Rattus norvegicus: one gene and its partners. The protein of the gene in region 1 interacts with the protein of each later gene in a pairwise test. Links are inferred from orthologs where the notes say so. Each region holds a gene or a part of one and is shown in the gene's direction. Other genes may lie near its edges. The genes, in order: Ushbp1, Ccdc146, Prc1, Cnnm3, Exoc8, Synj2bp and Fam110a.

Region 1 (3,859 bases):
CTAAAAAGTTAGAAAGGAATAAAGTGGAGGGCTAGAGAGTTGGCTCTTCGGTCTAGAGCACTGGCTGCTCTTCCAGAAGATCCAGGTTTGATTCCAAGCATCCATGTGGCAACTCTCTGTAACTCCAGTTCCCAAGGGACCTGACACCTCATACAGACATACAGGGAAAACGCCGATGCAAGTAAAATAATAAAAATAAATCCTAAAAAAATAAAATAAACTCTGCCTCCCCCATCACCCTGCCAGTAGGTGCACTCCCCTGGTTAGGCCTTGAGTGTTGAGAGCTCTGTGGCAGCTGGGAACCGTCCCAGGCCACATTGACGGGGGTTCCGGTTGCTGTAGAGAATTGGTTGAATATGTGAAGTCAAGGCCTGATCCCCTGTCACCGACAGGTACAGGAGCTGGAGGATTCCCTGATGCAGCTGGAGGCCTCCCCGCCTCCCTCCATGCTCAGAGCAGGCCGTAGAAACAGCAACTCCAGCAGTTCTGGGGCAGAAAGGAGACCCTGGGCACCTCAGGTAAGAATAAAGCCTTCTGAGTGAATGTCATGATGATCCCTGCTTTCCCAGTGTGAGGGGCAAATATCAATTTGTGCTTTATGGGATCCCATAATAAAAGACAAAACTTTTCCTGGGGAGACACTACACACATCAACTGACCACAGATAGGGAGCCCATGACACATCAAATACGGACACCACTAAAGTTCAACTTAGTGAACCAATGAGTTTTATTGGAGTTACAAATAGGATTATGGGTACACATTATGGGTATGAATATGGGTACATATAGGATTGTAGTTATGTACATGTTGATGGACAGAAATGATTCAAAGACAGCTGCATCACCAGAGTCTGAGTGACAGCATGAGTGACAACTCACTAAAACTGGGAACCTGGAGCTCACTGCAGGTTGGAAGTTGTCCCTTCTTAGTGACTCTGGTCTAAACCTCCTTCACACAGCTGGTCTTATCTCAGGGTCTTCTTTGCTTGCTTCTTTGTTCACTAATCTCAAAGGGACTTTCCTTATTTTGGCAGGGAGGGGCCTAGTCCAGTTTCTGCTCAGTTTCAGGGACTTCCTGAAACTATTTGGAGTTGTTTACCGTCCTGCTTCAGGAGCTTCTCTGTCAATACAACCTATAATATATGAAAAGAACTAAATAGGACTTGGAGCCATGGCTCAATGGTTAGGGTCCTAGCTGCTTTTATCGAATACGCAGGTTCAATTCTCTGTAGCCACATGGCAGCTCACAATCATCTGTAACTCTTGTTCTAGGAGATCTGATGCCTTCTTCAGGGCTCCACAGGCACTAGGCATGCATGTGCACAGACAGACGTGAAGGCAAACACCCATATACATAAAATTAAAAGAAAAAATAAAAAGCTTAAATTACCAGCTTGGTAGCTCAAAGCAGTCACCCCACAGTCACCCCAATTGCTTAAGAGCCTGACCAGAAGGATCATGACCAGTAAATGTGGTGACACCCTGTCTCCATATTAAAGAAAAAATAAAATCATTGATGAGATGCCTCAGCTTCTTGGGGCAACTGTTGCCAAGTCTGCTGATACAGGTTCAACCCCTGGGTCCCACAAAGTGAAAGGAGAGAACTGACTCCCATATGTTGTCCTCTGACATCCATTCACATGCCATGGTACACACACACACACACACACACACACACACAGGCATGCACGCATGCATAATACATTCCACATGTGTATGCAAATACCCTCCCCAAAACAAACCAAAGATGTTGTTGTACCTCAGTGGTGAAACAGATTGGTAATATGATCCAAGGCCCTGATTCCACCCCCAGCCCTGCAAAAAAGGGGAGAAAAACACTTCTGGGGCTTTTGATGTTAGATAAATCAAGTCATGTCTTCCTGGCAGGACTCCCCCATGGCTCACCCCTTTCTCCAACGCCTTCGGAGTGACTCCAGCACCCAGAGCTTTGGGTGCCTTTCCACACAGCGTCCATCCCCAGAGATGTACCTCATGGAAGACCAGATGGGACAGCTCCAGGGGTGAGCAGCTGAATTATAGCTGCTGAGCTTTTAAGGACACAATTTCTCCTGCCACTGGGTTGTGATTGGGAAGGGGAGAAAACAGCTCTGGGTGATTGGAGTGTCACTCACCTTCCCTGTTGCCCACCTTTGGAGGCAGGAACATTGAGAAGTTGAAGTGCTTCAACCGCCTCCTGCTGGCTGTGCTCCAGGGCTACAAGGGCCGCTGTGAGAGCCTCAGCATTAAGCTGGGCAAGAGAGAGGCTGAGGCCACAGCCCTGCACCTGGCTCTACAATATAGGTCTGTGCCTGTTTCCAGTGATGGTGGTTGCTGGGGCTGGGGTGGTGCTGCATGCCAGGATGCCTTATGTACAGAGGGACACAGGACCTTCAGACATTGCCTCACAATGACATGTTACTCTGACCCATAAAGAATGAGGGGTGGGAGGTGTCTTTTGTAGTTTGTTATATATTTATTTGAGACAGGGTTTCACTGTGTAGCCCAGGCTGGCCTGGAACTCTCTATGTACAGCAGGCTGGCCTGGAACTCACAGAGATCTGCCTATCTCTGCCTGGGTTGGGGTTGAATGTTGAAACATTTAGATCCTATCCCACAGCAAGGACTGTGAGGAGGTGTATGAGGTGCTGCTTGCTCTGAAGACAGCTGGTCTAGGAGCTGGAGTTGGAGCTACCAATGGCGACCTGCAGGCTGCTGAGAAGGAGGCCTCTAGGCTGCTGGTGAAGAAGGAAGTAGCCATGGATGTAAAGACACCCCAGCCCAGGTACCCACAGGAAGCACAAGAGTTGCTGGTCCATGAGAGTGATGGGGGGCATGTCCCAAAGCCTGCTGTACATGGGGCATTGGGGTTAGGATCATCATTCACTGCTCAGGGTTGGCTCTGCACTCATCATGTTTGGCTGATACAACGCCTGACTGGAGTCGGTTACTCAGTGGCACCAGGTGTGGTGACAGTCTTTGATCTCAGCACTCAGGAGACAGAGTTAGAGTAGTTCCAGGCTAGCCCACACAGAGTGATCCTGTCTGAAATGAATACAAAAGCAAACACACACATACACAAAGCATCAAGTAATGTAGACCCTAGCTTCAGCCTCTAAAACTGGGTAAAAAAAAATACAGGGGTTGGGGATTTAGCTCAGTGGTAGAGAGCTCGCCTAGCAAGTGCAAGGCCCTGGGTTCGGTCCCCAGCTCCGAAAAAAAGAAGAGAAAAAAATACAGTGAAGAGAAATTTATTAGGTTTATTAGCTCATGATTTCAGAGGTGTCAATCCATCATTGCAGCCAGGAAGTAAAGAGGAGGGGTACAGGAAGTAGACAGGATTTCACATAGCCCCAGAGAAAGATGGCACTCTTGACAAGTTGTGTGAACCTGGGAAGGTTATCAGTATACTTGTAAGGAACGTCTATACTAATGGCTGTGAGCTCCTGACTTAGTCTCTGTGCAGAGAGTCCTCAGTGCCAGTGCAGCCTTGGTGCCCAGTTTGAGCTGCGCACACCTCACAAGTAAATTCAAATTCCTCTAGTGGCATTATTACCATCAAGGCTCACCACCTTGCTACGTATCTGAATGTGGCCTTGAACTCCTCCTGCCTCCATCTCCTAAGAGCTGGGCTATTAATATGGTGCCAGGCATGGACCTTCACGCATGCTAGGCAAGTTCTGAGGACTGAGCTGCAAGCACTCTACTGGCTGAGCCCCAGCATCTACCATACTAGAATGCTGGAAGATTATCGGCTGGGTGTAGGTCGTGCTGTGGATGCTGTTGGTAGGCCTCAGGTAGCATAAAAGTGTGGTTCCTTAGGGCTGTGTGTTGGGAACAGCTGGCCTGCCCCCTGTCTC
Region 2 (3,859 bases), on another chromosome or scaffold:
TACATGCGCGTGCACGCGTGCGCGCGCGCACATACACACACACACACACACACACACACACACACACACACACACACACACACAGCAGAAGCTAACATTTTAAAACTAGACTCAGGGGGCTGGGGATTTAGCTCAGTGGTAGAGCGCTTATCTAGGAAGCGCAAGGCCCTGGGTTCGGTCCCCAGCTCCGAAAAAAAGAACCAAAAAAACAAAACAAAAAAAAAAAAACTAGACTCAGTTATTCCACAAAAGGATTGTGTCTAGAAGTCCTTTGTTTAAAGTAAATAAAGGCCAGGATACAGTTCAATGCCAGAGTGCTTGCCCGTGCGAGCTTTGATCTCTTGCCAAACAAACAATAGAAGTATGTGTGTCTGTGACACTCGATCAAGAGGCAGTTGACACAGGACGACAGCAAGTTAAAGTTTAGCCCAAGAGACATTGTAAGATTGAGTTTCAAAAAAACGATAATAATCTTTTTAAAAGAATATGGTATGAGCTATTACTAAAGCAGAGCTTACGCATTTGTCACGAGACCTAGGCATGGGCTGTGCATAAGTGTAATCTCGGTTCTTGTTCTGAGTGCTTACAGGGGGATGGGGTTTTCTCACTGCCTAGAAAGAGGTCACACCTACATAGCATTGATGAAATAGATTCTGTAGCAAAAAAACTGGGAACACTTTAGTCACACAGACCCCCAGCAATTAGCCAGCCATTCAGACCCCACTTTCACTGTTTAATTAGACACACTCACACCTGAGAAGTAAGACCCTAAGAGAACGGAGGTCAGATGAAGCAGAGCCGTGGAGGGAAGATGGTGAGGGCATTCGACCCACCTCAAACAGTCTGGTATCTGTTACAAGAGCCCTATGGAGCCATGGGATAATTGGGCTCGTAGAAAACAGATGAGAAAGACCACAGCCTTCCAGAAACTGGGCAGACATGAGCTGAAGAGCAGAGGACGACTGAGGGGAGCAGCCAAGGTCTGAGAAGGTCATTGCCACCAAAGTCAGGGTCGGGGCCGGGGTCAGTCCAGAGCACTGCTCTCAGAAGCACCGGCTGATGGCTGGGAAGAGTCCATCCCTGTGAGATTTCCCAGTTAGAAAACGTCCCCTCTTTTCTCCTCAGAAATGTTAGGTCTACCAGAGGTAGAAGAGAGCTGGTCTGTTTACAAAGCAGTCACATTCTAATAGCTCCCAATACCTGATCCATGTGTTATCTATGCATGACTACTCCACGGTAGCTGAATTTCATTACTGAATGGGGTAATTTATATTAAAACATGGGACAATTCTCCCTTTTGAAATATGGACATCATAAAAGAAAACAGTTTGTCCCTTGAGTGTTTCATTATTGGGAATTACCGTACGAAACACTATTTGTAGTTACCTGTATTTCCACAAAGAGGCGTTAAATCTTACTATTTTATGTCATGTCTACATCTCTCTTTTAAAAGAGATATAAGGTGACCAAGGTGGAGATTCACACTGGCGTTGCTGTCACACTCAAGACAGCGTAGGTGACGCTTCATCTTACTCCAGAGCCTTCTTGTCTGCACGGTCACCTGCTGGGGACTTTCATTGCCACTGAAAACTATACAAAATGAAATCGCTGTGTACCCACACTGACTTGGCGGCACAAGGCCAAATGACTTTGCTTTGCCTGCCCTTGATGGAGGGTGACTGAAACTACTCCTCCCTGGACTCCTGCCTACAGACACTCCATCGCCAAGTGCTTCCTATCCCAGAGAAACACCCACAGGGCACTTTCTATGTGAAGAACATCACTAGTGCCTACTAGTATAAAGTGGTGAATGTACATACATATGTATATATAAGTATGTATGTATTATACATACATATATATGATTTTTGAAGGTATAGCTGTTTTCTTTTTAATGTATTTATGTATAGTTTTACAGCTGGTCTCAACATGAAGCCTCTTATAAAGGAAAATACACCCACTAAACAAATGAGCAGAACTACACACCCACTAAACAAATGAGCAGAACTACACTTTAAAACCATTGCCTCTGTGGCTCACAAAATGCCAGAGGGTTCAGGTCAAACTTCCTGTGAATCCTCTCCATTGACCTCTGTAAGCACAGTGCTAGACTGGCTGGGTGGTGTAGGCTTAAGTCACTCCTCCCCAGTAGTCCCCCCACCCTGTCTGTGGGGCTCTCTTATCCTCCCCAGTTCTTGTGAAATCTCAAGTATGCTCTAGCCGTAGTCGATGGGAATCACTCCCGCTGTCCAGGGAGCGCTCAGGAATCTCCTGTTCCTCTCATCTACACAAGTTAGGCAGAATTGACAGACTCCATGCGTACTCTTATACTGTGGCTTTTGTTAGTGGTGGTCTTGAATTTTTGAGATAGAGTCTTCCTATGCAGCACAAGGCTGACCCTGAATTCATTACGATCCTACCGCCTCAGTTTCCTAGATGCTGGTGTTACAGACGTGGGCCATCATGCCTAGCTTTCTGGTTGTTGTTCTTGGGTTGTCTTTTTTATTTTTTTTTCTGAATTTCACACATGAATTTTTACATTTCAGCGAAGATACTGCGACATTATTAAGGAAATCAAATCAAAGAAACTTGAAATCAGGCTATACAGGAAGAGAAAACGTGAAATTCATCGGAGGTAAAAAAAAAAGAAAGAATTTGGTAAAAAGAATCATGATTTAGTTGTTTGGGGGAAAGGTGTTACTTACTTTTCAATTTTTAAAAACTGCCTCATGTTTTCACAGACTCAAAGAATTTGCCGGCTTGTATGACGCAATCAGAAATGAAAGAAACAAGTTTGTTAACTTACTTCACAAAGCTTATCAGAAAGTAAACGAAATAAAAGAAAGGCTCAAAATGTCATTAAACGAGCTGGAAATTTTAAGGAGCAGTGCTGTCTCTCAAGAAAGGTAAGAGTTATGACAGCTAGTTGTAAGCATCCATGCTTGCTTAAGGGGTCCAGGTTACCTGATAGGCCGGCTGGAGGGGCCACAGCAACACTGAGGCCAATCAGATGTTTTATACATTTATCAGAAATAGAATCTAGTGGCAATTTCCAGGATCAATACAATTGTAGTTGCCAGGATACAAAGACATTTGCAAACTTTACAGGGTATATAATGTTAATGCCTAAGATCAATTGTCCTGTCAAATTTCCCTGTTTCCTTGATCTCCAAGGAACATACAGAGAAACACAAAGTGTGTCTTTACTGCCTGAGGGAGCGCACAGCCTCTCCCTGTGCCCCCGGAGCCGTGGACTCTATCCTGAAAAACCTATGACATGTGCCTCTCAAGGCAGCCAGGCCAGGCCAACTCCTTGGTTCCCTGCAGTCAGTGTCCTCCCTGGCACTCTAGAACATCTCGGTAGTCAAGGAAGAAAACAAAGTATTCAGAGATGGGGAAATACATGCTGTAGGGGGTGGTTCTGATGCTGAAGGTCCTTGCCATCAATTGGTTTTTGATCTTCCAATAAAATTGCCAGTAGCCAATGACTGAGCAAGGGGAAGTACACTGAGAGGTGGAGGGTGGGGGAGAAGAGGGATAGGACACAGGGAGAATGGGAGGGGGTTCAGGAAAGAAGAAGGAGCTGCAGTACCAGCAGGGGAAAAAAAGCCAAATAGCCATGTGAGTTTTAAGGTAGGTGGACAACGGCCACTTCCCTGTTTGGACCTATGGTAGCAGAGGAAACTTTAGGAGTGCCCAGTCATTGAATTTGCCAAGGCATTTAAAAAATAACTGGTGTGTGTGTGTGTGTGTGTGTGTGTGTGTGTGTGTGTGTGTGTGTGTGTGTGTGCTTTTTTGTTTGTTTTGTTTTTTCTTGGATATTTTATATATTTACATTTCAAATCTTATCCCCTTTTCT
Region 3 (3,859 bases), on another chromosome or scaffold:
CATCGTATGCCTCCAGAAAGCTCTAACTCACCTTCGGGAAATATGGGGGTTAATTGGGATTCCCGAGGAGCAGAGACTACAAAGAACCGAGGTTGTAAAGAAGCATATAAAGGTGAGTTGATTCACACTGCTTCCTCTGCAGGGACAACAGTGGGGATGGACATTATTGGTGGGTAACTTAGCAGGTAAAGTACCCACTGCAACTCCATGATATGAGCCTGGACCTGAGCTCAATTGCCAGAGCCCATATCTGATAGAGGGGATTGACTCCGGGGCCTTTATACTAAAGTATCACGGGCTGGTCCTGATTTTATTTAAAGCCCTTTCTGTAAAATTTGAAATTATGAGGGTTTTGATATTAATGCTAGTTGATTTTGTGGGTTTTCTGCAATGTTTTTATTGTTTTGTTCTCATTGGCTCCAAGTCTTTATCAGCTGTCTTCTCGCCTGTAGGATCTTCTGGATAAAATGATTGCTGAGGAGGAGAACCTGCGGGAAAGGCTTCTCAAGAGCATATCCATCTGTCGGAAGGAGCTGAGCACCCTGTGCAGCGAGCTACAAGTCAAGCCATTTGAGGTATGTGGCAGAACGTAGTGCTTGGGAGATTGGTTTCATTTAGGACTGCAAATCCAAAGCTTTCTTTTTTTTTTTTCGGAGCTGGGGACCGAACCCAGGGCCTTGCCCTTGCTAGGCAAGCGCACTACCACTGAGCTAAATCCCCAACCCCTAAAGCTTTCTTATAGGAGAAGGACTAGACATGAGATGTTGAAGTGAAGCAGCTAATATTAGGTTATCAAAACTCCTTGCCATTTTTCTGTTTTATAGAGCTTAATAATGTTTTTAAATTAACTTTGAGGAAAATGGAGGCACAGATGTTTGTGTGGAAAGGGCTGGGGAAACATGGAAGAAATGGGTTAGTTGGTAAAGTCCTCTCTTCACAGCTTTGAGAACTGAGTCCAGTCCTCATAGCCATGGGGAAAAGCCAGCTATGGTAGCATATGCTTGTAACCTTACTGCTGGGGGTCAGAGATAGATTGATCTCTCAAGATTAACTGGCTAGCCAGCCTAGCCTGATCCATAAGCTTCAAACCAATAAAAAAGTTATCTCCAAAAAGAAAACAAAGATAAAAAACAAGGCAGAGGGCTGGAGAAATGGCTCAGCAGTTAAGAACACTCACTCATGCACAGGGGCCAGATTCAGTCCCCAGCACACGTGGTGTCTTACAACTGTCCTGAACTCCAAGCTCCAGCACCCTCTTCTGGCCCCAGTGGGTATCAGGTCCACATGTAGCACACTTAAGACACATGCAGGAGAAAAACTTATACCCTTATAAATTTTAAAACCAATAGCAAAGTGGACAGTCCTAGGGAGTGACCCCCCAGAGTTGATCCATCTGTTCATATACGTGTCCATGCTCCCGTCCACCCTGACAGTGAGTGGGACCAGGAGGCGAGGGTACCTAGTGATAACAAAGAAAGGGAAGCAGCCAAATTCAACTGTTTTGTTCTTTTCCATGCTCGAAAGCTGCATACCCTGAACCAACCAGAATAGGACCTGAAAAGTTGGGCACAGAGGAGCAGGGAAAGGTGGTGGTGACTGGTTCTCATGTCCTGTTTACCGTAACAGGACTGACTGAGCACCGGCATCTGTAGAGGAGTAGTTCTGGCACTCAGACTGCCTTTAAAGGGGAAGGGTGATTCATCCCTGGCAGTCAAGAGCATTCAAGAGATCATGACGTCAGAGCAGTCTCTTGGAATTACCATAAATGACACTGATTTTTACATAAAGTTTCTCTTCAGTTCAGTCTTTTGTTTTTAAATTTTCAATGTCAAAATAGGTACATGAGAAATTGGTGCACACTGGTACATCTATCTTCCTTAAACATACAGCAGTTTTTAACAATTCTAAATGAAACTGTATTTATTTGTAGGACATAGAATCACTAGTCACTCTAGTTAGTCCCTTATTTATCCACTGCAGTAGAGAAGGATCTACTAAGTTGACATTGATAAGTGGTGTTCATAGGATTTTAATGTATTTCAGCTAGTAAGAACTAGATAAACCATCTCCAGCTAACCAAGCCTTTTCTGGTCGTTGTACCCTCTTACAAAGTCCCCTAGTACCTAAGACAGTCAGATTCATAGAGCCGAGAAGTGGAGTGGACTGGAGTGGGTGGGAGCATAAAGGAGGACCTTTTGCCAAATGAGCAGTTGAGTTTTGCAAGAAGAAATGAGTTCTGGAGGTGAGTGACTGTAGGATTGCACAGCAGTATTCACAATTGCTTCTTCACTTAGACCACATCCTCATAAAGCCACCATACATTTTTTTTAATTGTACAGTTAAGTTATGGGAAATTGTAGTTTACACTTGGTTGTTGTACACATTGCACAAAACACCTTAACCTAGAGTTTGGCCCCATCGTACACACACGTTTAACCTGTGGATTAATACAGAATTGTAATCTAAACCACTGTGGATGCAGTTCAGCCTTAGGGGGTCTTACTAGCGTCATGTCCTAGTTTTAGTCTCTGGTATTGGCCAGCAAGATGAGTCAGTGGGTGATTGTCATAAAAACCAGAGGGCCTGAGTTCAGTCCCCAGAAGCCATGTGAAATGCCATTCTGTTACTGTCCTATGCATGTCATGGCAACCCTTCACCACACACACACATGTGCTACGAGAGCTTTGGGGTTTTTTGGTTTGTTTTGGTTTTGCTTTTTAGTTTGTTTGACTTTTTTGAGACAGGGTTTCTCTGTGTAGCCCTGGCTGTCCTGGAACTCATTCTGTAGACCAGGCTGGCTTCAAACTCAGGTCCACCTGCCTCTGCCTACCAAGTGCTGGGATTATAGGTGTGCACGGGTCAGAGAACATCTTACAGGAGTTGTTTCTTTCCTTTACCCTGTGGGCTGTGAGGAGCAGATTGTCAGGCTTGACAGCAAACCTTTACCCTCCAAGCCATCTTGACAGCCTGTCCTCAGGTATGAACTACGTAGACGTCAATTTTGTGTCATACTGTCAAAGGTTGCATACACATGATTTTGGTTGGTGTGACAGTGCAGGCCTGTATACTCGGCATGTGGAAACCAGACAGGAGGATACCAAATTCAAGGCCAGTGAGACCATCTCAGAAAAGAAAAAGTATTTTCTTTTTTGTTTGTGTAATTTTAGTACTGTATGAAAGTGAAAAACTGTGGTTGAATTAGTACCTGAAATATAGATTGTGCTGAGTGTGTATTGCCTTTGTCCCATTGTAAAGATGAAATGTCATGGAATAAATCTATTGCTAAGTTATAGACCACTGCTATACACTGACAAACTGCAAAGATTTGTATGTAGGGTGATAATTGGGCATTTTGCCATTGTTATAATTTGATCCTCTTTTTTTTTTTTTCCCCAGAGCTGGGGACCGAACTCAGGGCCTTGCGCTTGCTAGGCAAGTGCTCTACCACTGAGCTAAATCCCTAACCCTTCATTTTGCCATTGTTAAAGAAAAAAAATTGGAAAAGGAAGTTGGGCATAGGACCCATGCCAATAACCTGAGCCCCTGAGACAGGAGGTGCAAAGATCAGGACTTTGAGATCTTTCTTGGCCACATACTACAAGTCAAGAGAAAGAAAAACAGACTTTCCCTGCTAGAAACCCTAGGTGACCCTCTTTCGGTCAAGACTAGGCTGGCCTTGAACTCTGAGATCCCCCTGCCTCTACCTCCCAAGAGCGAGGATTAAAGTGTGCATAGCCACGCCAGCTTGAAGTGCTTGCTTTGTCAATCGCTGTTTCTCTTAGTGCTTCCCATCCTTGGCTTTTATTATTAATAATCATGTCGTTTCACAGGAAGATAAAGAAATAACTGTCTTGCAATT
Region 4 (3,859 bases), on another chromosome or scaffold:
AGCGACTTGTGTTTTCTATGACGCAATCAACCCCTGCTTTCTTCCCTGCCAGCCCCACTGGCCTCTTGAGGCAGAGGAAGGATTAGGAGTAAGCTCTCTACTCAGCCTCTGTCTTCACCAGCTTGAGGTTTGGTTTACTCTTGTCTGTCATGGTGCTGAGTTGACTGAGACCTCAGTTCTGAAAGGCGTGTTGGCATGTGATTTTTCTCAGTGTGTACACGTACATGATGACTTTAGAAGAGAGCAAAGGGGCTTGAAGCACAGGTCAATGCTGGCAATAGTGAGAAACCACGAGGCCCTGGTTTCTGTGCTCAGCAGAGGGAGAGAGCATGCGTGTGCGCATGAGAGCGTGTGCGCGAGCGCGCGCGCGCACACACACACACACACACACACACACACACACACACACACACACACAGAGCATGCATCATGATGGGTCTTCCAGCTTCCAAATAACTGCAGTGCATTTGAGCCTGTTAATGAAAATGAGAACTCTAGGGCCTTTGGTCTGGTTGTTTCAGCACGGCAGTCATTACCTGCCGTGGTTCTGTGGAGCTGGCCAAGCCAGATTGTATATCTGCCCTGGGGAGTATTCAGTCCTGTCTAGTGGGGACACAATGTTAATCCCTAGAGCCTCCCTGCTTTCTGTTCCCCTGCTGCCTTGGAAAGGCCTTCTGTCCCTTTGCACGCACCTTGTCTTAGGTTCGCATGGCTGGGAGCTTCCTTCCCCTGCTTACTGATTGATCCCGGCGCAGCAGGCCCCAGAATCGTGAGCCTTTTTCAAGGAAGTCCAGGAGCACAGGAGAGGTTAATCCTTCCTGTTAGTAGTACCCAAAGGGACTCACTCTTGCAAGGAGGGAGCTGAGTGGAGGCCTCTCTGAGTGGCCTTGGGGTTTGAAAATTCAAAACTCAAATGCTGCACTTGTGGCCTTTCCTGCCTGGCCTCATGAGTTTGTATCCCATGGCAGATCAGCCCTTGTGGAAATGGCACCTGCCTGCTAGCTTGGACCAGCGCCAGCACTAGCAGCAAGGACTAGAAAGAATTTAGAAACCCGGTAGGCACTCCGATCCGACCCAGTGCCCCTGACTCAGCAGACTGAGCAGTTGTCAGGGGTCCCTGCAGGCTGCAAATAAGTATCCCTCCTACAGGCAAGTCCCACCTGGCCATCGTTCAGAAGGTGAACAATGAGGGCGAGGGCGATCCCTTCTATGAGGTGCTGGGCCTGGTCACCCTGGAGGACGTCATCGAGGAGATCATCAGGTCTGAGATCCTGGATGAGTCTGAAGACTACTGTGAGTTTGACAACTGCTTTTCTCTCAAAGCCCTTCCAGTAGCCTGAAGGGCGTCTCCGTCAGAGGCCTGTGGGTCTTAATGCTGCTGAAAACTGGTTGGAGCTCCAGCCAGACCAGACCTCCCCTGCCCTGGTATGGGCTAGTGTTGTCCCTCTATACAAGCCAGGCAGACCAACCTGAGGTTGAATTTTGTGACCCTCTGTGAACAGAGGGCTCTGCAGACAGCCCTCCATCACTGGAAGAAGCTTCTGCTGTTGGCAGGCCTATGCCTTCTGCCTTTGCCAGCCCACATTCGCTCCTTGATACACTCTTTGAATTGGATTTGAAGCTCAGTAGTAGAGTATTCATCTAGCCTGAATGGAGCTGAATTTGATCACCTTCAACACACAGGTTTTAAAAGACCATCCACATGCCTTTAATCCTAGCCAAGCAATGGCAGGTGAGTCTCTCAAATTCCCAGCCAACCCGGGCTACATAATAGACCTTGTCTCCAAAACAAACAAACAAATTATTCACTACCAAGCAGGTTGTGGGACCTTCTGTAGCTGGAGCCTCACGTAGCCACTTTGGACCCTGCACTGCCATGTCTGTGCTTTCAGTTCTGTACCTGGGCTGATGCAGGTCACCAGGGTAGCCGCTGCCCTGGTATGGTGAAGCCCTTAGGTGCTGCGGGTGATGGTCAAGCACGTATTCCCTTCTGTGGTCCTCACAGCAGGAGAGCCAGGCTTCCTCTTGGGCGTGGCCCCAATGTGAGCTGTCGCCTCCTCTGTCCTGGGCACTAGGATTACTGTCTTGAAGGAAGCAGTTCCAAGGTTGTGTCTGTAGGGTCCTGGCAATATCCTCCCTGAAATCCCTGAACCCTGGGAAGAAGGGGATAGGCAGCCGAAGCATTTGTCTGTCTGTGTTCATGGTTGGGTGCTGACAGCCACTCACGCCATCTGTTCACTACCCCAGCAGACACAAAGGTGAAGAAGAAGGCCGTCACCCTGGGCGCCCCTCTCAAGCGGAAGGAGGAATTCTCCTTATTCAAGGTGTCTGATGATGAATATAAAGTAAAAATCTCGCCTCAGCTGCTCCTGGCCACCCAGCGCTTCCTTTCCCGAGGTGAGGGTGAAGGGTGGTCCTTGGCCCCCGGTCTCACCACCCAGAGGGTCAAGAAACCACCCAGGCCAGACACCAGGCTCCTAGCGAGCTGGAGGCTCTGGACGAGCATCTGCTTCCCTCTGCAGAGCTAGTGGTGTGTCCTGGTAAGGCGTGTTCTGGGAACCTCATCTGGCTCATGCATATGTCCTCTTGGCTCTCTTGTGTGGATTGATTGCCGCAGCCCAGGGGCCACTGGGAGAGCCCAGGAGGCAGGTGTGATGACAGGCCATTTGGGCCCCAGTGGACACTGTCCCTTTCTCCCACCGTGGGGCAGAGGTGGATGTGTTCAGCCCATTGCGAATCTCTGAGAAAGTCTTGCTGCACCTGCTGAAGCATCCCAGTGTCAACCAGGAGGTGAAGTTTGACGAGAGCAACCGCTTGGCCACACACCATTATTTGTACCAGCGCAGCCAGCCAGTAGATTACTTCATTCTCATCCTGCAGGTAACTCTGGTTGCCCAGGCCTGAAGCCTGAGAGAGTGATGCAGACATACACCCTTAAACACTGAGGGCTTCTCTGTATTCTCTCCTGTGATGGGGGAAATAACCTGTCCACCCCCGTCGTCTTCTCAGGGCAGGGTCGAGGTGGAAATCGGGAAAGAGGGCCTGAAGTTCGAGAACGGGGCCTTCACATACTATGGCGTGTCCGCCCTGACAGCTCCATCTTCAGGTAAGCCGTGGCTTTGGAACCCTCAACTCTGGTGCTGCGGCAGGTCTGGGTCTGCCCACAGCAAGCTGCCCGTCACTAGGTAGTGTAGGGCAGAGCTGCTGCATTTCTGCCTTGTTTATCTCGGTTGCTCACTCGATCCCTGCAAACGCTCCAGGGTGGCTCCCCCACCTTCCATGTTCCCGCTGTCCCCTCTCAAAGGTGACTTGATGGGTAGGTCTGAGGGCTGTGCTGTTGTTCTGTTGGCGTCCACCGCCTTTTACTATTTCTTCCGTAGCTCATCAGTCCCCAGTGTCTTCACGCCAGCTCATCCGCCATGACTTGCAGCCTGAACCAGCGGACAGTACCCGCTCCTGCACGTACTGTCCTGACTACACTGTGAGGGCCCTTTCTGACCTGCAGCTCATTAAGGTGACTGTCTGGGCTGCGTATTGGTGCTCCTTCAACTGCCTTTGTGCCCCCAAGGGGCTAGTCTAGCTGGTCAGTGTAAGGACGGAAAGTGAACTCTGCTTGAGAAGGTGTGCTCACACCCTAAGTGGTGGGGCCTCCTGTGACCCTGGATGTTGGGACCTGGGCCTGTGTGGAAACCTTACATCTGCTCTCTCTATTGGTGATCCTAACACTAGGCCCAAAACCAAAACCCCTTTGCCTTTCACCAGTTTAAAGTCCCGCCTGTCAGAGGCCAGAGGCGGGAACCCTGCTGTCTGTCTGTCTGTCTGTCTACATCTGCTAGGTAATCTCTCCATTCTCGTGTCC
Region 5 (4,435 bases), on another chromosome or scaffold:
AGATAGTATGAGCTACTATCAAGAACACATCATTGAAAAATAAAAATCTAAATGTTGAGGAACCAGTTTATGCGAAGACTACCTCTACAAGGTCCTTTCTTGGTCTGAGTTTTAACAAGGGTTCACTGAGACGGATGGAGCACATGCCTCCTCTCCCTTCATAGGTGCAGATGCCAGCACACCTGGAAAACAGTCACGGACAATGGATTAGGTTCACCCAATGCACAAAGGAGACAGAACAAAAAACAAACCCTCGCCTGGCATGGTGGCGCAGGCCTTTCATCCTAGTCCGTGGGAGGCAGATGCAGGAGGATCTCCCAGTTCCGGGCCAGCCTGGTCTACAGAGTGAATTCCAGGGCAGCCACAGATACATAGTGAGACCCTGTCTCCAAAAAAAAAAAAAAAAAAAAAAGAGCCAGCAAATCCTTATCCTTGGGCAGTTCAACGAAAGTCCCTGATAGAGGGCTTTTTAATAACACTTGATCACCCTCACACCCTCACCCACTGTTATCCTCTCTGCTCCGCACCGGGACTTGTCACGGGGCCGATGTGAAGTTAGAAGTACGCTACGTCTCAGCCTGCTTCAGCTCAGGCTGCTATGTGACGGTGTATATGCAGGGCAGATTATTATCTAGAACAGGATTTCTCAAACTCAGTGGGTAGATGAGGGATCCTGCTGGTACATCTCTGAGAGCCGTTGGGCCACGAGGAGGGGACACACCAACGACAACTCAGCGCCCTTGCCCTTCCCTACGTTCCGAGCCGTTCGTGGGCGCACTCACAGTGTCATGCGCACACTCCACTTCACCTCCACGGCCTCCAGCTGACCCCAGAAGAAGCGATCGTTAAACTGCAGGAAGAGCGCCTGCAGGTCCGGGGTGGGGTCCACCAGCTCCCAGGACGCGTCCACCAACGATAGGGGCTCCCGCGCCGCCGCGCGCCGCGCCGCCTGCACGTCCCACTCCTCCTGCAGCCGCAGCGCGACCACCAGATCCTCGTCCATCCCGATACTCTCACTTCAGCCGCTCCCAAGACGCCGGTCGGGCTCGTGAGGCGTACGGATCTCGCGAGACCTCCCGGCCCCGCTGTCAGGGCGCGCGGGCTCGCCTCGAACGCCTAACCGAAGGTGGCTCGGCTCTGCCCCGCGGACACAGACTTAGGAACGCTGGGCTCGGGGTAGGGACGGCTTCAGGAAGCCAGTTGTCTCCAGACCGCCGCCGAGGTCCAGCGCCTCACGTCAAGTCTGGTCCGTGCCCGACCCTCCTCTGACTTCCGTACTGGCCCGTCCGCGCACGCGCCTTAAGACGCTGCCGTTTCCGCGCAGGCGCGTCGTCGACACTCCGCCCCGGGCGCAGGCGCAGTGTGAGAGTCTCGACTTTGGCACAGGCGCAATGCAGCGCTCGGCCCCGGCGCAGGCGTTTGGGTGTTGCTCCCGCCCCGCTTCCTCTACCGCTTCTCCACCGGGCTCGGGTGGGGCCGGGAGGCGGCGAGTGACAGCCACTGCGGGCCGCGGGAGCAGGGCGGGTGGCAGCCATGTCGGACAGCGGGGCGAGCCGCCTGCGGAGGCAGCTGGAGTCGGGGGGCTTCGAGGCGCGGCTGTACGTGAAGCAACTGTCGCAGCAGTCGGACGGCGACCGCGACCTGCAGGAGCACCGACAGCGGGTGCAGGCGCTGGCGGAGGAGACGGCGCAGAACCTGAAGCGCAACGTCTACCAGAACTACCGGCAGTTCATCGAGACGGCGCGCGAGATCTCCTACCTGGAGAGCGAGATGTACCAGCTGAGCCACCTGCTGACGGAGCAGAAGAGCAGTCTGGAGAGCATCCCGCTGGCACTGCTGCCCGCCGCTGCCGCGGGCGCATCCACGGGTGAGGACACGGCGGGCGCGGGACCGCGGGAGCGCGGGGCGGCCCAGGCGGGCTTTCTTCCGGGGCCGGCCGGAGTCCCTCGCGAGGGCCCCGGGACGGGAGAGGAGGGCAAGCAGCGAACGCTCACCACGCTGCTGGAGAAGGTGGAGGGCTGCAGGGACCTGCTGGAGACACCAGGTCAGTACCTTGTGTACAACGGGGACCTGGTGGAATACGAGGCAGACCATATGGCCCAGCTGCAGCGAGTGCATGGCTTCCTCATGAACGACTGTCTGCTGGTGGCCACTTGGCTACCACAACGGCGAGGCATGTACCGCTACAACGCACTCTACCCACTGGACCGCCTGGCTGTGGTCAACGTCAAAGACAATCCACCTATGAAAGACATGTTCAAGCTGCTCATGTTCCCTGAGAGCCGAATCTTTCAAGCGGAAAATGCCAAGATTAAACGCGAGTGGCTGGAAGTGCTGGAGGAAACCAAGAGGGCGCTCAGCGACAAGAGGAGACGGGAGCAGGAGGAGGCAGCCGCCTTGCGTGCGCCACCACCGGTCACTTCCAAGGGCAGCAACCCGTTTGAGGATGAGGCCGAGGAGGAACTGGCCACCCCGGAGGCAGAGGAGGAAAAGGTTGACCTTTCCATGGAGTGGATCCAGGAGTTGCCGGAAGACCTGGATGTTTGTATTGCGCAGAGGGACTTTGAGGGTGCCGTGGACTTGCTGGACAAATTAAATCACTATCTTGAAGATAAGCCCAGCCCACCTTCTGTGAAAGAGCTGAGGGCCAAAGTGGATGAACGAGTGCGACAGCTCACCGAGGTGCTTGTGTTTGAGCTCTCCCCGGATCGCTCTCTGAGAGGTGGCCCTAAGGCTACTCGAAGGGCAGTGTCTCAACTGATCCGTCTCGGCCAGTGCACTAAGGCTTGTGAGCTGTTTCTGAGGAACAGGGCGGCAGCTGTGCATACTGCCATCCGCCAGCTTCGAATTGAGGGCGCCACTCTGCTCTATATTCACAAGCTGTGCCATGTCTTCTTTACCAGCCTCCTAGAGACTGCACGGGAGTTTGAGACAGACTTTGCAGGCACGGACAGTGGCTGCTACTCTGCCTTTGTGGTCTGGGCAAGGTCTGCCATGGGCATGTTCGTGGATGCTTTCAGCAAGCAGGTTTTTGACAGCAAGGAGAGCCTGTCCACTGCTGCCGAGTGTGTGAAGGTAGCCAAGGAGCACTGCCAGCAGCTGGGAGAGATTGGGCTGGATCTCACCTTCATCATCCATGCCCTCCTGGTGAAGGACATCCAGGGGGCCTTGCTCAGTTACAAGGAGATTATCATTGAAGCCACCAAGCACCGAAACTCGGAGGAGATGTGGCGTCGGATGAACCTGATGACTCCTGAGGCCCTGGGCAAGCTCAAGGAGGAGATGAGAAGTTGCGGGGTCAGTAACTTTGAGCAGTATACGGGGGATGACTGCTGGGTGAACCTGAGCTACACTGTGGTAGCCTTCACCAAGCAGACCATGGGCTTCCTGGAGGAGGCACTGAAACTGTACTTCCCAGAGCTACACATGGTGCTCCTGGAGAGTCTGGTGGAAGTCATACTGGTTGCTGTGCAGCATGTGGACTACAGCCTGCGCTGTGAGCAGGACCCAGAGAAGAAGACTTTCATCCGGCAGAACGCATCCTTCCTTTACGACACTGTCCTCCCAGTGGTGGAGAGGAGGTTTGAGGAAGGTGTGGGGAAGCCTGCCAAGCAGCTGCAGGACCTTCGGAATGCATCGAGACTCCTGCGGGTGAATCCTGAGAGCACCACGTCTGTGGTCTGAGGCTCTGGTTCGATGCTGTGTGTGCGTCTGTCTGTCTGTCTGTCTGTCTGTCTGTATGTATGTATGTATGTCTGTACACACACATGTACTACAGATGCATTGTTTGTATTCACATTACACAATATCAACACATTCCTCAGACACAAACAGCATATAAAAGTGCCCTCTTAAAAATGCAGTCAAAAGAAGAAAGATAATGTGTTAAGTGCTCCCTCCCACATAGAGGGATTATTAGAGCACATACTGTGCTTTTTTTTTTTTTTAAACTCTTTAAGGAGTGTATGGTCACAGCAGCATTTCAGGTCACTCTTTAACCTGAAACACACTTGTCACAGTAGCACATCCTGGAACATTGCACTTCTGTGCTGCCTAGAAAAATATGCAAGTCCACAGGGTTTAAGTTGTGAAGCATTCCAGTTCAACAAAATGGCTTCTGAACGGTCATTGCTGTGTAGCGCCCCTGTGTCATGTACTCAAGAAGCAAGCCAAATTGGGAAGAAATGAGTTGGCTTGGGATAAATTTGAGTAAGTGGGCCCCAGACTCTTCAGTGTTTGTAGTGGTGTGGAAGGAGGCTTTCATAAACCACAGGCATCCAAAAGTCGGAAAACTGGCGTGTTCCATGCCTACTGCCTACTCAGACGCATCTTTCTGGGGAATCACAAGGACTGCATTGAATTGTTAACACATCCCAGAAGTGAGTAGATTGCCATGTTCAGGAAGTGAGTCTGGCTGAAGAGCCACACAGAGGAT
Region 6 (3,859 bases), on another chromosome or scaffold:
CCAGGATTGATGTTTAGGTGACATCCTCCAAATGTCACCAACAGGATCAAAATCAAGTGTGGGCGGAAGCACTTACATTAAGACTCTCCAATGCTACTTCCCATGTTAGTTTATATGTATTCAACCAATCATTTTGATCATGGTTCTGATCACAGCACCTTTGTACTGCCAGGTTCAAATGAGCAATCTAGGTACTTTCGGCCTTTGTTCATAATGACTCACTGACTGTCCATGACTGTGTTTTAGCTTACCTCACGGTCTGAATTGTCAGTCTCTCCTCCCCACTAGACCATTTTCCTCTCCTTTCTTCTCTAATCTTTCTTTCTTCTTCATCCCTCTCTCCTTCACTCCTCCATGATTTTCTCAGGGCTGGGCTTCAACATCGTCGGTGGGACAGATCAACAGTATGTCTCCAATGACAGTGGCATCTACGTCAGCCGCATCAAAGAGGATGGGGCTGCGGCCCGGGATGGGCGGCTCCAGGAGGGTGATAAGATCCTCTCGGTGAGAAATGGCTTCGGCTCCCTTTGTTATACTTTGCTTCCTAGACCATATCTGACTCCTTCTGTGGCCTGCCTTTTTGGAAATGAAAATATTTAGATTATATCATTGAATAGGAAGAACATCAATCAGTCGTCCAACTTTACCACTAGGCTGGGAGGATAGTATTATTCTTGCTTGACAGGCCAGGCAAATTTGACGTAGTTCAAAAAGCACAAAGCAGGTAGGGGTGAAGGACTGGCTAGGAGGAAGGAGATTTAAGGTCCATCCACACTTTTCAAGTTTCTCTTGATAATTTTATCACTTCTCTTTTGTTGACTAAAACACTGAATTGTGCCTTTTCTTGGGAGACTGTCAGCCCTTAATAATGGTCTGAACTTTAAAAAGCAAGGTAAGGATTAAGTTTCTGCTTCCTTACCCATTATTAAGCCTTATAAATGAAGAACAGTTTGGATATCTGTCAATCGTGTTCTCATTTCATCCTGTTAATGTATCTTATGACATAGTAATCATGAATCTTACTATTTTTATGTATTTAATAATAGGAATTAATATTTTTTAGCTTTCCATATCTTAGTATAGTGCTCAACATAGGCTTAATAAATGAGCAAATCAGAAAATTAATTTAAAATAGAAAGGTTGACTAACAAATACAGTCATATGGGCTCATAGACCCTTTAAATTTTTTATTATTTTAAGTGTGTGTGTGTGTGTGTGTGTGTGTGTGTGTGTGTGTGTGTGTGTAGGTAGGTAGGTAGGTAGGTATGTGTGTTTGTAGGGTAAAATGTACACATGAGTGCTGGTGTCATGGAAGCCAGAGGCATGGGATCCTCCTGGAGCAAGAGTTACAGGAAGTTATGAGCTGCCTCATGTGGTTGCTGAAAACTGAACTTGCGTCCTCAGAAAGGTTGGTGCATGATTTCAACAGCTGAGCCCTCTCCTCAGCCCCAGACCTTTAGTCTCTCAGTCAGTTGAATCTTTCTAAAGTAAATCAGAATCCAGGTGTAATAAGACTTTTAAAACTCTTACATGTGGCTGTATTTTTTTAATTTCTGTTCTATCTCACTGGCAACAGTGTCATTAATTATACCATCATTTTTGGGCATTTGGGAATGGTTAGACCATGCTATAAAATCTTACAAATCAATTTTTTTGTGCTATTGTAGCTCAGCTTATTTTTACGAAAATAACACACATGATTGGTGTAAGGAATGGGACTTGCTATCTAGGATTCCCCGTGAGTTAGACTTTCTTCTAAGGGCTGTGCTCAAGTTAAAAGGAATTCGAAGAAGGGTGGGACTTTTCCCTGCAGAAGTGCTTCCAGTTTCCACATGTGCTGTGGATTGTGGCTCATGGTCTAAGAAAAAGCAATTATTTCCTACTTTGTCTTATAAAACTGAATAGGGCAAGAGGGCCAAACCGGTAAAAGGCTGAAGTAAGTGAATGAAGTGTAGATCAAGACAAAATTTGATTAAGAGTTAAGGATTATGTCAGATACTTGATTTAGAACTTCCACAAAATAGGACTATGTCTTTTAAAGATTTTATTTTAGTTTTGTTTTGTATTTTCTCTTTTGAGTTGCCTCTCAGAGTTCAGCTGATTAGTGATAAAAGCCATAGAGTTTAGTTGATTAGTAATAAACGTTGTATGTGTGAAGCCTTCGGATCCTTTCAGAGACCAGCTTGTGGGTACTTCTCTGCCATCCAACCCATTTGGTAGCAGTATGTGAAGGCAGAGATACAGATGAAAGATAAGAGTGTCTCCCTTTCTTTCATTTGACATGTGAGTAGTATTTGAGAGATCCTTAGGAAGACACACCACCAAGCATGGTGGCACACACCCATACAGTCCTCTAGTACTCAGGAAGTAGAGGCAGGAACGTTTGTGTTTAAGTTGTGAATTAGTTAGCAAGATCTTATTTCAAGAGAGAAATACACATAAATCAGAGAAGTAGCCATGAAACCATGCAAGTTAATTCAAGAATCTGAAGAATGTGTCTGACATACAAGTATAACACTGTGGATGGTGCTGTGTTAGTTCCTCTCACTGTTGGCCATGCTGCCACCTACTAAGCTTCATCTAAGCCCTCTCCATTAGTCTACAAGATAGGGAAACTTAAACGCCTTTGATATGAAAATGCTGACGAGGAATTTAGGAGTAGGTCTTTTCTACCTCTCTTAGAAGAAAGACATTGTAAAACTGCAAACCGAGTTTGCAATAGGACAGAAAGAAAAATTGTTAGTGGGTTGTTAAAATAAAAGTATAATGTGTCACAATATCTCAGAGCACTAGCACCTATACTCGAGTAAAAAAAGACTTGAAAAATAGTGGGTTTAGTATGGGGCTGAAGAGACAGCTATATTGTTAAAAAAAAGCTTTAAAGATGGATTATCTAAAAAAAATTATGAACAATTTATATGCACAAAACAGAACCTTCAGTGTAAAGCTGTTTAATATTAGGGTAGTGCTGTGAAATGAGTATAATCATGCCCATTTTGCAGCTAAGAAAACTGAGGCTTGATGAAGTCAGGTGGTTTACAAGTCATACAACTAGTGTTGGTAAACTAAAACTTTAACCTGTCTGAATTTGAATTACTTACTAATACTAATGCTAATACTAAAATTAACACTATATTGTCTTCCTAAAAGGTAAATGAGTAAGTAAGATTAATTACTCTAAAAAGGAAGTAAATAACTAGTAGATGATAGACATGGCCTTAGAGAAAACTGAAATTAACCTTTCTACCAAGGGTAGAATTAATGGTATAAGTCAGAATTTAAGAGAATGTATTAGATATAAGCTAGGACAAGGAACCTTATGTGGTCCATTTTCCCTAGAGAAACAAAATTACTAGGAGGTCTCAAGAGTTAAGAAAAGCCTTTGGTCCTGTGACAGCTCGTTTCCCCAATGTAGGGGAACGCCAGGGCGTGGTGGTGGGAGTGTGTGGGTGGGAGTGGGAGCGTCCTCATAGGAGCAGGGCAGGGAGGGGGGATGGGAAAGGGGGGGAAAGGGGATAAGATTTGAAATGTAAATACATAAAATATCCAAGAAAAAAAGTTTAAAAATTTCTTTGTTTTAAATTATAAAAAAGAGTTGAGAAAGAACCGGAGATTAGTGGTGGGTGGGTGGTAGAGAGAAATGTTAATGAAGAGGAAGGTAGATATCTAAAACCAATAGCTCATCTAGCTTTAAAACTTACAGCATGTGGGTATAAAATTAACTCAAATAAATCAGTTGCCTTCCTCTATACAAAAGAGAAACAAGCCGAGAAAGAAATTAGGGAAACGACACCCTTCATAATAGACCCAAATAATATAAAGTACCTCGGTGTGACTTTAACAAGCAAGTAAAAGATCT
Region 7 (4,617 bases), on another chromosome or scaffold:
TTGTTTTTGGGAACTATGTGTTACTTTTGCCCAGTGGTGCACAGATGGGAACAAGAGTTTGTGGAGTGCTCTGCCACAAGTGTCAAATCTGTATCGAATCAAGACTTAAGGAGCGTAAGAGCCAGCGAGCAGAAAGGAACAGAGCAAAACAGACTCTTACCGGTGCTGCAGGGCCACTGTGCTTGTGAACCACAGCAGCTGTGGTTGTCTGCACAAGATCAAGCCAGTTAACATTGCAGCACAGAGACGGGAGAGGCTTATGAGCCCCTACCCTGAACTGAGGAGCTAGGAACAGCTGAATGTTTCTGGAGAAAAGAAAGTCCGTGTTTTTACAAGGTTGCAGCCCTTGACCGTTTGATCATGGTTCAGTGGATGGCCCTACTGCCACGAATAGATGGGCAGATTAGACTCGGTGGCGTATAAAAAAACAAAAAAGGAGGAAGTGAGGGTGGATGTAGGAGTTAAGGGGAGGAGGGTAAAGTAAATATGATTAAAATACATTGTGTGTGTGTATGAAATTCTCAAAGATGAATAAAAGTATAATTTAAATGTAAAAATTAGTTGGTGTTATTGTAAATGGGATAGGTTTATTACATGAAGAGCATGGTTATATATTATCTATTTGTGTTGTACGGAGTGATTTGAACTGTGTTTAAAACATGACACTTCCTTAACATTCTTCCATTGTTCTTAAATGTTATTTAACCGCATCGTTGTAAGTTACTGTATAATATTTCCAACTGGAAAGTTCAGACAATTGAAGGTAGGTACCTCGGAGCTAGGTCATGAGTACTGAGAAGAATTATGTAGAAAACTCAATTCAGCTTCTTCCCAGGACGGACTTCTATACTATAACTGATCTGGTTTTGATAAGCACCGTGGGAACTACTGATGTGTGCATTTAAAAACTGATTTATCATTGCAGTTAGGGGAACAGACAGGGAAAGAGGATTGTGGGAAAACACACAAAGAGGTAGCTGCTGAGTTGGGAGTAGGGTCCAGCTTGGTGGCTGGGCATTTAATACCAACTCATGGGTAGATGTACTGAGGCAGGCAGATATAGCAAATTTGAGACAAAAGCATGAATTTAAGGTCAGCCTGGGCAACTTAGTGAGACCCTGTCTCAAAAAGAAAAAAAAGTGAAGAGAGGGTCAGGTGTGGTATAGACCTAAAATCCTAGTATCACGGAGGCTGCGGCCAGTTATGTGTCAAGGCCCTGCCTCAAAACTCAAAAATGTTGGTACTAGGGTCTGTGCAAAACCAAACAAATTTGGGACTAGCAACCCTTGCTTGCAGCTGGAGACCGAGGAAATCCAGCTGGAAGAGGAGAAGAAAGATCTGCCAAGGCCTGGGCAGCCGGAAGGCCGAGCGACCAGCTGGGCTCAGGGCAGCAGCCGCTGGGTTGCATCTGCCGCTCCTGATGTTGCCTGGCAACCCGGCTGGCGCGCCGTTCGAACGGAAGCGACCGGCCAATCAGGAAGTCCGGGGCGAACCATTGCAGCGACGGGGACGGCGGGCTCACTTCCCTTTCCTCTGGGCCCTGGGGACGGTCTCCCGGCGGGATTGTGGGACGGCCGGGACCTCTCGCTCGGAAGAGCCGACCGGTCTCCACACGCTGTGACCTCCTCAGGTCCGCGGGGACCATCAGCTGTCAGCCTCTGCAGCCAGCGAGGAGCGGGATTCCTCCGGGCGTGGGCTGCGGGTGAGCATGGGGTAAGGGGGCGGGGGTCCTTAGGCAGTGTCCACGCATCAACCCGGGCAAGTGTTTCAGCATAGGGGGTCGACAGAGGAGAGCTCATGTCTAGTGTCCAGCCCAGGGGGGCCAGCAGAGAATCCAGGTTGTTCCACTGTCCCATCTTGCAGCCCCCGCTCCTAGCAAATCAGAGTACCCCACCGGCTTACTCTTTCAGGGGCCTATTGGGAGGACATGGCTCAGGGGATCTCCTGACTAGGCAACCCTGCCCTACCGGCCCTTGGAGTTCCCCTTCAGAATATAGTCTTTCCCTCCCCATTGGAAGCTTTCTGCCTAAAGAGTCTGGAGTTCCAGGGCTTCCCGCTTTGAGGGCCCTCCTTGGGGGGAAGGGGCGGGGCAGGGTGGATTCCCTAGGACTACAGATCCAAAGGCTCTGGAAGTCATGTGGGTCTGTGCGCGCCCGCCCGCCTGCGCTTGTATGCATTGGAGGTGCCTCTAAGCCAGAGTTGCTGGAATTGGACTTTAGAGTTGGGTGCAGGGTCAGGCCCTCCCAAGTGGAGCATCTAATTTAGGCTGTACTTTTATCTACTCTCCTGCTGTTGATCTTCTTTCGTAGGTGGGGAATCTGAGGTTCTGAGAAGTTGAGGCTCTTGCTCAAAGTCACAGACTTAACTATGCAATCGTCTTCAGTTCTTGATACAGGGAATCGCCCATTCGATGAAGGATCTCTCCTGAGGGGAACTACCCTTTCTCTGAGCCTCATTCTGGCCCTGGAGGAGCTGTGTTTGTCCATCTGTGTTTGTCCATCTGTGTTTGTGTCATGCTCCCCACCCTAACTTTTGTATGGCCCTAGCTGGCCTCATTCTTACTATTTATACCAGGCTGGTCTTGAACTCTCCATCTTCCTAAATCAGCGTCCTCTGATGACAAGCGTGTGCCACCTGCACACCAGTTTTATGCCTTTTCAGGATAGAACCCAGGGCTTGGTTTCTGCTAAGCGAGCGTCTACTAGATGAGTTATACCGCTGCCTCATTTCTTTCCACATCGTCAAGCTTCCTGTAGCCTGGTCCCTCCCTGAGTGTCCTGCTTTTCTCAGTAGCGTCTGTTCCATATTATGCACGAGGTATCTTATTAGGCGGTTTATTATCTTCCCCAGTGGAATGTGTCAGGCACGTGAGATGCTTAACACGGGCACAAATTATCAGGGTGCCCCAAACTTGCAGACTCAAGATGATCAAAGCCAACATCTGTTGGCCATTTGGTGTGTATTGTACTGGGGGGGGGGGTGGAGCAGGATAGGGTGGTGTCACTCAGGTGGACTCTGGCCAGCAGAGCCAGCATAGGCACTGTTAATACACACACACACACACACACACACACACACACACACACACACACACACACACTCACTCCCCCATCCAGCTACCTCACTCTATGCAAAATGACAGGTGCTGTGGACAGACACAGAGTGGCCATCAGTAGGGACTGATGGGAAATAATCAGAAACTCCTTAGATACTCATGCGGCACCAAGAGGAACGTGGATTACTGAGCAAAGGGTCTGGGTGGGAATTATATACACAGCACGATGGGCATCGCAGTCAATCCTAATCGTGGACTGTGGGTCAACTAATTGAGAAGCCACAGACAGTGATTACATTTGCAGAAAGTTATGAGGTCACTGCCCTACCTGTGGTTTGTCATTGGCTTTGTGAGTTTGGGCAAGTTTCTTCACATTCTGAGCTGTGAGTTCAAGCCAAGGCAGAAGGCACTGTAGGACAGGAAGTGGGTGTGGCCACAGGCCTAATTCAAGCCTCACCTTCCCTTCAGTGTCAGGCCCTTCCCTAAGGCCTTGTTTGTTAGTCTTTCTCCCTCTCTCCCTCTCTCCTTCACTGCAAGTCTGCCTTTGTTCCCATCTTGTCAGGGTGCAAACTGAGCCCCAGACTTTGTTAGTGGAGAGTGTTTGGGGGAAGGATTCATGCAGGAGCTCACTGTCCTAGGCATCCCTGCCCCTCCCATGGCGGCCCACTTGTAACTCTCTTCCTGAGATTTGTGCAAAGCTACTCTGAGCAAGGCTGACTCCTGGGCAGGCCAGGGCATGAGCCTGGTGAAAACTCCAGAAATAGCTTGGAACCTGGCCTGCCCTGGAGAATGCCCGGTCGGGTGTCTGACCTGGACAGCTGTGTTGGCTCTTCCCCACTGTCCGGAACCTTCTTGATCCTCTTCTGCAGCAGCCAGAGGCCTCCCTGGCTACCAAACCTGAGCCAGGACAGAAAAGCAGGTGGGGCGGATAAACTATCATAAAATGATCAACCCTAGAAATCTACTGGGAAGAGGGGACACACAACTGCCTGGGCTTGGAACCCTTGTCCCGGGCTGAGAACTTTACCAGTGTGAGCTCTGATTTCCCTCCACTCTGCGAAATGAGGGATTTCTGCTTTTATTTCATGGATACATATGCTACAGCAGGCACTCGAGAAGACACTTAGAGGAGTCAGTTCTCCCATTCCACTGTGGGGCCAGGGGACTGAACTCGGATCACTAGGCTTGCATGGCAAGTACTTTTACCCCAAGTCATCTCCCTCGCCCTAACTTTACCAGTCATTTCCCACTCTCACTCCCCCCCGCCCCCCGCACTGCCACCCTACCCCGTTCTGGTGTTTTGACTCTATACACAGAAGCATGCAGTCACTGTCTGCCTGGACTCAGCTTACCGTCTTCATGTTCCATTCCTACTATAGCACATCAGTCAGCTCTCCCTCTTAAAGACCGAATAGCCGACTGGACGTGTGTGGTTACGTCTCTTTACCCATTCGTTCATTGGTGGGCACTTGCATTGTGCACGCCCTCGGCTGTGGTGACTAATGACTGCTGGGGACTCCATGCGAGCGTTTCTGCCAGCATGCACACTGTGGATGAGTGTT

Evidence for each region.
Region 2: the proteins of Ushbp1 (region 1) and Ccdc146 interact in binary tests that used the Homo sapiens proteins (3 or more experiments, as listed by UniProt). The two-hybrid records come from large-scale screens. The link is inferred for Rattus norvegicus from reciprocal best matches to the Homo sapiens genes USHBP1 and CCDC146.
Region 3: the proteins of Ushbp1 (region 1) and Prc1 interact in a two-hybrid assay, tested with the Homo sapiens proteins (2 studies listed by BioGRID and IntAct). The link is inferred for Rattus norvegicus from reciprocal best matches to the Homo sapiens genes USHBP1 and PRC1.
Region 4: the proteins of Ushbp1 (region 1) and Cnnm3 interact in binary tests that used the Homo sapiens proteins (3 or more experiments, as listed by UniProt). The two-hybrid records come from large-scale screens. The link is inferred for Rattus norvegicus from reciprocal best matches to the Homo sapiens genes USHBP1 and CNNM3.
Region 5: the proteins of Ushbp1 (region 1) and Exoc8 interact in binary tests that used the Homo sapiens proteins (3 or more experiments, as listed by UniProt). The two-hybrid records come from large-scale screens. The link is inferred for Rattus norvegicus from reciprocal best matches to the Homo sapiens genes USHBP1 and EXOC8.
Region 6: the proteins of Ushbp1 (region 1) and Synj2bp interact in binary tests that used the Homo sapiens proteins (3 or more experiments, as listed by UniProt). The two-hybrid records come from large-scale screens. The link is inferred for Rattus norvegicus from reciprocal best matches to the Homo sapiens genes USHBP1 and SYNJ2BP.
Region 7: the proteins of Ushbp1 (region 1) and Fam110a interact in binary tests that used the Homo sapiens proteins (3 or more experiments, as listed by UniProt). The two-hybrid records come from large-scale screens. The link is inferred for Rattus norvegicus from reciprocal best matches to the Homo sapiens genes USHBP1 and FAM110A.

What each region holds. Positions count from the first base shown.
Region 1 is NC_086034.1:18,095,078-18,098,936, reverse strand, and holds part of Ushbp1 (harmonin-binding protein USHBP1), read left to right. Parts: intron 1-392; coding exon 393-518; intron 519-1,889; coding exon 1,890-2,023; intron 2,024-2,162; coding exon 2,163-2,303; intron 2,304-2,619; coding exon 2,620-2,784; intron 2,785-3,859.
Region 2 is NC_086022.1:14,673,788-14,677,646, forward strand, and holds part of Ccdc146 (coiled-coil domain-containing protein 146), read left to right. Parts: intron 1-2,546; coding exon 2,547-2,635; intron 2,636-2,741; coding exon 2,742-2,906; intron 2,907-3,859. UniProt on the Homo sapiens protein: Essential for sperm flagellum biogenesis and male fertility.
Region 3 is NC_086019.1:143,665,706-143,669,564, forward strand, and holds part of Prc1 (protein regulator of cytokinesis 1), read left to right. Parts: coding exon 1-112; intron 113-452; coding exon 453-575; intron 576-3,830; coding exon 3,831-3,859. UniProt on the Homo sapiens protein: Key regulator of cytokinesis that cross-links antiparrallel microtubules at an average distance of 35 nM. Essential for controlling the spatiotemporal formation of the midzone and successful cytokinesis.
Region 4 is NC_086027.1:46,257,489-46,261,347, forward strand, and holds part of Cnnm3 (metal transporter CNNM3 precursor), read left to right. Parts: intron 1-1,149; coding exon 1,150-1,293; intron 1,294-2,247; coding exon 2,248-2,397; intron 2,398-2,522; coding exon of another isoform or gene 2,523-2,608; exon of another isoform or gene 2,609-2,710; coding exon 2,711-2,880; intron 2,881-3,009; coding exon 3,010-3,106; intron 3,107-3,380; coding exon 3,381-3,514; intron 3,515-3,859. UniProt on the Homo sapiens protein: Probable metal transporter.
Region 5 is NC_086037.1:69,751,821-69,756,255, reverse strand, and holds Exoc8 (exocyst complex component 8), read left to right. Parts: upstream 1-1,379; 5' UTR 1,380-1,533; coding exon 1,534-3,684; 3' UTR 3,685-3,869; downstream 3,870-4,435. Other genes in the region: DNA-dependent metalloprotease SPRTN, read right to left, coding at 83-182, 783-1,003. UniProt on the Homo sapiens protein: Component of the exocyst complex involved in the docking of exocytic vesicles with fusion sites on the plasma membrane.
Region 6 is NC_086024.1:106,934,566-106,938,424, reverse strand, and holds part of Synj2bp (synaptojanin-2-binding protein), read left to right. Parts: intron 1-367; coding exon 368-504; intron 505-3,859. UniProt on the Homo sapiens protein: Regulates endocytosis of activin type 2 receptor kinases through the Ral/RALBP1-dependent pathway and may be involved in suppression of activin-induced signal transduction.
Region 7 is NC_086021.1:160,942,297-160,946,913, reverse strand, and holds the start of Fam110a (protein FAM110A), read left to right. Parts: upstream 1-1,508; 5' UTR 1,509-1,702; exon of another isoform or gene 1,703-3,952; intron 3,953-4,617.